Arabidopsis thaliana: one gene and its partner. The protein of the gene in region 1 interacts with the protein of each later gene in a pairwise test. Each region holds a gene or a part of one and is shown in the gene's direction. Other genes may lie near its edges.

What was found.
Region 2: the proteins of AT1G15260 (region 1) and PRA8 interact in a two-hybrid assay, tested with the Arabidopsis thaliana proteins (one large-scale study listed by BioGRID).

The regions. Positions count from the first base shown.
Region 1 is NC_003070.9:5,248,084-5,251,403, forward strand, and holds AT1G15260 (LOW protein: ATP-dependent RNA helicase-like protein), read left to right. Parts: upstream 1-1,676; 5' UTR 1,677-1,750; coding exon 1,751-2,287; 3' UTR 2,288-2,490; downstream 2,491-3,320. Other genes in the region: AT1G15240 (phox (PX) domain-containing protein), read left to right, coding at 1-118, 219-301, 384-521; AT1G15250 (Zinc-binding ribosomal protein family protein), read right to left, coding at 742-788, 878-979, 1,086-1,221, 1,296-1,298; AT1G15270 (Translation machinery associated TMA7), read right to left, coding at 2,750-2,830.
Region 2 is NC_003074.8:4,494,148-4,498,701, reverse strand, and holds PRA8 (PRA1 (Prenylated rab acceptor) family protein), read left to right. Parts: upstream 1-1,901; 5' UTR 1,902-2,933; coding exon 2,934-3,500; 3' UTR 3,501-3,723; downstream 3,724-4,554. Other genes in the region: CYP90D1 (cytochrome P450, family 90, subfamily D, polypeptide 1), read left to right, coding at 1-62, 288-372. UniProt on the Arabidopsis thaliana protein: May be involved in both secretory and endocytic intracellular trafficking in the endosomal/prevacuolar compartments.

The DNA.
Region 1 (3,320 bases):
CCGGATGGTGTATTCATGACAAAGCATCCAAAAAGGCAGCAACAATCCAGCATTTCTGAAGAGGAGCAGAAACAAGAAGCAGAGAGACGAGCAAAGTTTGTTCATGAGCTGATGATCGGTAATGAGCGTCCTGTTATCTGATTTTTTTTTTTTGCATCAATGATTGCGAAGCTTAATTGAACTAACATAAATGTTTGAAATAAACCCTCAACTCACAGAAAAAGCCCCAGCTACTATAGTGAGTCTTATAGGACAAAAGGAGTATGAACAATGTGCAGAAGATCTTTACTTTTTCCTTCAGGTAAACATTCCACTTGATTTCAGGTTTGTGCGATGCTTACATGCATTTGATGATTTCATTGTTAAAATTATTCTTGTTTCAGTCATCAGTGTGTTTGAAGCAATTGGCGTTTGACATTTTGGAGTTGTTGCTACTATCAGCGTTTCCGGAAATGGAGCAAGCTTTCAAAAAATTGCACTACGAAAAACACCTCTTTGGTCAATATACACCACCGAACTGATACTTGGATTTTCATTGTAATCATCTTCCATATTACGTGGAGTTTTGCTAGAATTCTTTAAACAGTAATAGCACGGATGCATTTCATTGATGAGTGATCACACTATCAGAAATAGGATTGCACAGTAAAGGAAGTACAAGAGCAAAAAAGATAAACAAACGAATTAAAAAAAAAAGCTACATAGCAAGAAAGAGATGGCAAAACGCAAACTGAACAATGCCTAGGAAGACGAAGCTGCAGCTTTGTTTCTTGGGGTGGCTTGCGTACCTGATTCACAGAATTCCATCGATCAGATTGAGCAAGTCTTAGATTATATCAAATATTTAAGTGAAGCAAAGGGTGCAATGTAGCTTTACCTTCTCTAAAGCAAGTCTTGAACCTTCGAGGGACATTACGGAGATACCTCATCCTACCAGTTCCTGTTGTCTTTCTTCTTATTGCCTTCACACTCCAGTTATCTGCACACAAAATCATAAATTCCAGGACTCTTTCATATATCTCCAATTCTCCATGATCAGACCCAAAATTCCAAGACAGAGACAGAAATAGAGAGAGAGTACATACATGTCCTCTTTCTGGCAGCTGGATAAGCACATGCCGAGCAACGACTCTTCTGGATGTGAAAGCTCCGGCGACCACATCTCACACAGAGCGTGTGTGACTTGTTCCTCCTCTTACCAAAGCTCCCTGTTCCTTTACCCTGTCATTTCCAAAGCACCGGTTACACATAAGTCACACATGAGCTTACATGGAAAAAAAATGCCAATAGATTACCATTGCCGCAGATGCAGGGGATGATCAAAGTTTGCTCTACAGAAATCTTTGCGGCTCCGAGAAGACGACTGTGTAGCGTCCTTTAGGGTTTTTCCTACCCAAAATGGATCTTCATTGGTTACCGCCAAAAATATGGGCTTCTTAATGGGCTTCATGGGCCTGGTTCTGATATTACCTCGAGTCAACTGGCATACAGTATATATAATATGAGTAGTGAGTGGTGGTGGCAATGATAAGTAGGGGACCAATTTTGAACACTGCTTATCAATGTGATGACGATTGCTTACCTATAAAAGTGGACAACACAATCAACAAGATGACACCTTCTTAAAGTCTGACACTATCAGCTTGCTTCTTCAACTACTACATGCCACTAAATCAATGTTAGGTTTCCTTTTGAGATCCCTAGTGACATAAATATGGTTATCTTCTCAAAAAAATGAGCAGCAAGAAAGATGATGAAACCTACATCAAAATCAATTCAGAGAGTTGGTCGTTTCTTAAAGAAGACTCTTGGGAGCATCAAGTCCACTATCTGCTCTAGTGATTACAAAAACTTACCTAACGACACTCCTCTCTTGAGCCCTTACTCCTGCAGCCGCCGCTGTCCAGAAGATTCCCAAACCCAAACCAAAGAAAGCTACACCGTTATCTGTTGTGACACGGCTGTGGCAGATACAACACACCAGAAGAGTCTCAACAACCAACATAAAAAGAAACCGAAGAAAGTCGCTGAGCCATTCGAGGATGCAAAGAAAAGAGGTGACGCGTTGGCGCAAAAGATGAAAGATCTCAATATGGTGGATCTGAGAGACGTGGATCACGCATTGGATGTAAGGGAAGCGCTTCGATGCTATTCAAGCATCAGAAGTCCTGTGTATCTTGACATTGTTGACAATTTCTTCACAGACATGTATTACGAGTTCTCTGATCCTCGTACCTCTGCTAAGATCAACGGTTCAAGGAGAAAGGCAGGCTCCTTCAGGCTTTAAAGTTCCTCTGGATCAGCTTTGCTTTCACGGGCTATCTGTAGTTCTTTCATCTATAGAGTATGCACTTCTTAAGAACAGTGTTAACCATTACACACACCGCTTTGGTAAAATCACCTGTCACCACCCTCAGTTTCTACCTCATCTTGTAGAGTCAAGTTACGCTCCTATTCTCAACTACTATCAATGCAACATATTTTCCACTTCAAGTTATGACAACTTACAGTTTATAATACTATATCTGAAGATAGAGATGTGACACCCTACTACTCGATTCTTGACAAAATGATTTTAGGGTAGATACCACTTTTCTTTTTCATGAAAAAATGGAGAAAGCAAACATATGTATGGAGAAGCGAAGTTACTCTTCTCGAATTATGATAAAAAGTTACATCAACACAGGATTATCTGTTTTTTTCACTTGATAAATTTGCATTTTAAAACACACTTCATGGATAAAACGGATCATTTCTTGCCACTCTTCTTAAGTCCAGAACCTCCAAAGGATCCCTTCTGCGATGCCTTGGCTCTAAGCTCTTTAAGGGCCTGTTTTATCATTTTCATTCAAAACAAAACAGGTCAGGCTTTCGGTAACAAATGATCACTGTACTTCTCATGCGAAAGAAAGGCTAATGAGTCTTTCACACAATTGGGTGGAAAAAAAGTAGACTAAACATCCTAACATGGGCAAATGGTCACTATTTCATCAAAGTAAGAAGAAACTAGTCCATATCATCTCAAAAGAATCTGTAATGAATACCCCTAAACTAACAAATAATTAATAGAAATGACCCATCTAGTTGTAGTCACCAGCTATAAAGTCATAATTAGAGTCAGCTTGATTAGTAGACCAAACTGACAAAGTGGAACATATTAATGCACAACCTTTACAAAACCTTTACAAACCTATGTATCTAAACAGAAGCTCTCTTGTGAAGATACAATCTTTGATTCGTATTTTATAGCTTTCCATTGAAAGAGGAGCCCAAACATATAAGTTTAACTAGATGCATTTTTCCAATCACAAAACTTCATA
Region 2 (4,554 bases), on another chromosome or scaffold:
GGTCTCGATTTGGCTCGTCTTGAAACTTCAGTTTTTCTTCACCATCTTGTCACTCGCTTCAGGTAACTATCAGTTACATGGATACAAAATTATTTAATATTTGTTGTAATCTTTAAATTTCAAAACAAACAAGAGGGTGTGGTAATTAGTGCTCTACACTTTAGACAAAATGGTACGTTCGGACCAAATAAATCTAAATGTCTAATCTCTTTTTGACAAGTTGGACTTAACTCTTAAACGATATACAGAGACTTATTTGAAAATATGTTGGTGATTATGATATGCAGATGGATAGCAGAAGAAGACACAATCATAAACTTCCCAACGGTGCATATGAAGAACAAATTACCCATTTGGATCAAAAGAATATAAATCATTTTTCTTAAGTGAAAAATGGAGAATCAGTTTTGCATTATCAAACTCTAAAAGGTTAAAGAAGTCACACGAGTGTTTTGTAAGTGGGAAGTGAAAAAGATAGTGAGACAGCAAAAGGTAAGAAAAAAAGAGAACATGATGGAGTTTGGAGACAAAAAATGATTCACACGTGTGGAAGACGATAGCACACATGCCAACTATTTTGTCGTATTCCTTCACAAGGCAAATAAGGACAGAATCACAAAACCTTTTTGTTGACCGTATATATATATATATATATATATTTTTTTTTTGAAGTACAAAGGTGTATGATAATTATGCATATGATATAGAATCCTAATTTTCATGACTATTTCCTCTCTCTCTTTTTTTTTTTTAAATGTTAAGGACGACTATTCCTCTTCGTATATTAAATTATTAACTAAGAAAATCATTACAGAAAAGTTATAATTCTGGTTCAATCATTTATATATTTCCAAAAGAATGGTCTAATAAAGATATTATGATAGTCTACATCTATTTCAAGCAATTTTACAGTTTTTTTGCTAAATATGTTAATATCATTAATAATGAAGTTGTGGCGTTACAAAGAAAACCAGTACAAAAGCAACTTTGGCAAAAAAAGTAAAAACAAAGCTACAATAGATTTAGGAAATTTTTGAAGACATTAACGGATCCAGAGAAGCATTAGCTTACGCCAACGCTTCCTAAGCAATTTTACAGTTACTAGTTATTTTTTTAATTTTTAACTGGGTGATGGTTTTCTCTTTTCTGAATAGTCTCTAATAGTTTTAGATGTAATAATGAATGATTAAGCAAAGTCATATTATTTCTCCTCCACTTATATGATATGATGTAATTAACATAACAACCCACTGAAATTGATTTAAACAACGTGACAAGACAAGAAAGTTGTGTTGTTTCAACTGAACATCACTAACAACCAGATCTAACCACTAATTGTACTATATTACATTTTTCTCACTATTGTAACTACGAGTTGTTTATGTTAACACAATAGCCTTTAGAATTGATTTGGATAAGAGGGCTTCACTTTTAAGAGATCCATCCGTTAAGCCTGTTAAAGGCCCAAAAGTTGCATAATAGAAAAGCCTATATATTGGCAAAGACGGGCAACTGTTTAGGCAAATAGGTATTTCTTATGTTATCGCCGCCGTTGAGCCTTTTCTTGTTTTTATTCCCTATTTTGAGTTTTTCAAGACCTTGATTTTCATTTATTGTTAGTTATTTCTCGTTTGGCTGATGATAAGTCCAGCCCGAAATTCCGTTGTTATAGCTTTTTTTTGGTGAAGTTTGCATGGCCATGGAGAACACTAACTTTTTTTTTCATGTAAGTAGACAATTTCAGAGATACTAATCCAAGAGATGGCGGATACGTTTTACAATCACGAATCTTGTATGATCACTAACCATTGGAACAATAAGAGTATATAATGAGTATATCACCATTTAGTTCTAGTGGGTGGTGATCATATAAGATTGGTAATGGTAACAGTGAAACATATCCCCCATCTATTGGGATTAATTAGTCTCCCTGAACAGTCGTGAGAGAACCTTTGTTTGCTGCGGCAGACACTAGAGACTGTTGGAAGACCTTGAGATATACAAAAATGTAGAATTATTTTGAAAATAGGTGATGTGGATCTGGTACTACTTGATTTACATATATGTATTTGCTTCTCTGCTTACTTGTAACGAAAGCTACATTATATAATATACCTTTGATTTAAGCAATCTTGTTGAATAGGTTTCTCTGGTTCTTATGGAGAAAAACTTAAGATTTTTGTAATCCATCATACATTTTGGTATAGTTTTGATCTTATATGTATTGTGCTTTGACACAAGCTAACTATTTTCTTGTTTCACAGAGCGGGATCAATTCTAAAGCAGCCATGAGTCTGGCTCGCTAAAGAAGCCTATCGATGTGGATCGTCCAATGGAGAGAGAGCATGTGACATGAAACCTTCGTTGTATTGGGCCAATATCTTTTGTAATTGGGCTGACTAAAAATCATGATAAAGTCCGAGGGAGACTATAAATAATTTACTCATTGTTCCTGCCGACATTACACGTGGCGAAAGAGTAGTTATATGCCAGAGAGACTCCTCTAAAATGGGGTCACGTGTAGCCTGTATCGACTATTCAATAATGCCACTCTCGCTCGGTGACACCGTGTCTCTTACTTTATCATTAGTCTTTCAAATTAACTATATAGTCCTTCAACATGTAGTAATTCATCTACTTATAAATTGCTGTTACCCAAATCTCGAGTATCTAAAACTTATACTTTTCAGACATTGACCAAGTAGTGAATCAAATCCTCACGTTACACTATATTGTAATCTTTTTAAAACACGATCTAATTAAATTTTGTTTTATTTCATAAACATAGATTAGTTTAGAAAACGCCATATGCAAATGTGTATCACCTAATTCTTGGGACCTTTCAGAATTCATATATACACATAACAAACAGTCTTTTCATTTACTTTCTCTATTCAATCTCACACGCGCTAAACCATAACCCGATATTACTAATGACGAACTACGGTGCGATTCCGACGTCGTCTCATGCATCTCCGTTGGTGGATGTCGAGTCTCTCTCACGCGCTAAACACCGTATCAAAGCCGGGCTAGCCACGCGCCGTGCTTGGAGAGTGATGTTCGATTTCCACTCCATGGGACTGCCTCACGGTGTCTCCGATGCGTTCACAAGAATCAAGACCAATCTTGCTTACTTCCGTATGAACTACGCAATCGTTGTCTTGATCGTTATCTTCTTCAGCTTGATCTGGCATCCGACATCGCTCATCGTCTTCACCGTCTTGGTCGTTGTTTGGATCTTTCTGTATTTTCTCCGTGATGAGCCTATCAAGCTGTTCCGGTTTCAGATCGATGATCGGACGGTCTTGATTGTTTTATCGGTGTTAACCGTCGTTTTACTCCTGTTGACCAACGCGACGTTTAATATTGTTGGAGCGCTTGTGACCGGAGCTGTGTTGGTTTTGATCCATTCGGTGGTTAGGAAGACGGAGGATCTTTTCTTGGATGAAGAAGCGGCGACGACTGAGACTTCTGGGCTGACGTCATACCCGTCGACTTAAATCGTTTCATCTCGAAATTTGTGTATCTTTTCTATTTTTGTATATTATCTTGTTTTTTTAATTATGCGTAATCAATTTTTATTGGTGTGAGTTTGGTTTGAGACTTTCTCTCTCTCTTTTGTTTTCTGAGTTTTGAGCTCTGTCTGAAGTTTGAACAATTCTAATTTGTTATAATTTTTATTACTCCCTCTGTCCATAAAAGATAAATTTTTTAGGAAAAATATTTGTCTTACAAAGATAGAAATTTTATATTTGCAATGCAAATTTTAAAATTGTTTTCCCGTTTTACCCTTACTAAATAATTAGATAAATATTTATTATTATTTTTAAAATATATTAAGAGGTTAAAATTATGTTTATACAATATTTCTTAAAAAATGTGCAATTTCTAAAAAATTCATCTTAGTGGGACGGAGGGAGTATTTTATATTCGCAAAACTCAGGAATAATTTCTTGGAATGATTTATTAATCTGAAATATTTAAAATGATTTAATCTGAAATACATAATAAATAATCAAATTAATAAGTCAAACATTATAAATTCAAAATGGGTTGTAATGAATATTCCCTTTTTGCATTCCGTAACAAAAAAATAATCAATTTTTGTTGTAAAGTTTATTCAGGTTGGTTCACCTTCAAAGTAGGAAAAAAAGTTTGGTCTTGATTTAAGTTCTTTTTTCATTTGGGTCACACAAATGAGCAATTTGAAGCAAAAATCCTTGATATATATGCAGGCCTTATTCAAATTTCCAATGTAAAGATTTGAAGCAAAAATCCTTATATATAATTAGGTCTTTCAAAAGGCACAAATATTCTAGCCCATGTAATTCTAAACGGACGCCATTAGATATGTAAGAGCATCTTCATCAGTAGTCTTTCAATGAGATACCCAATAAAAAAAATATAATAAAAAAGGAAAAAGTAAGAGAGAAGGAAGAAAAAGTAGGAGAGAAGGAGAATTAAGTTTCTTGGAGGAGAAACTTTGAGAAACTATTCTCATTCAATTTGGACAGCTGTTATCCTATTATTAGTTTAACTATTAAATAACAATTA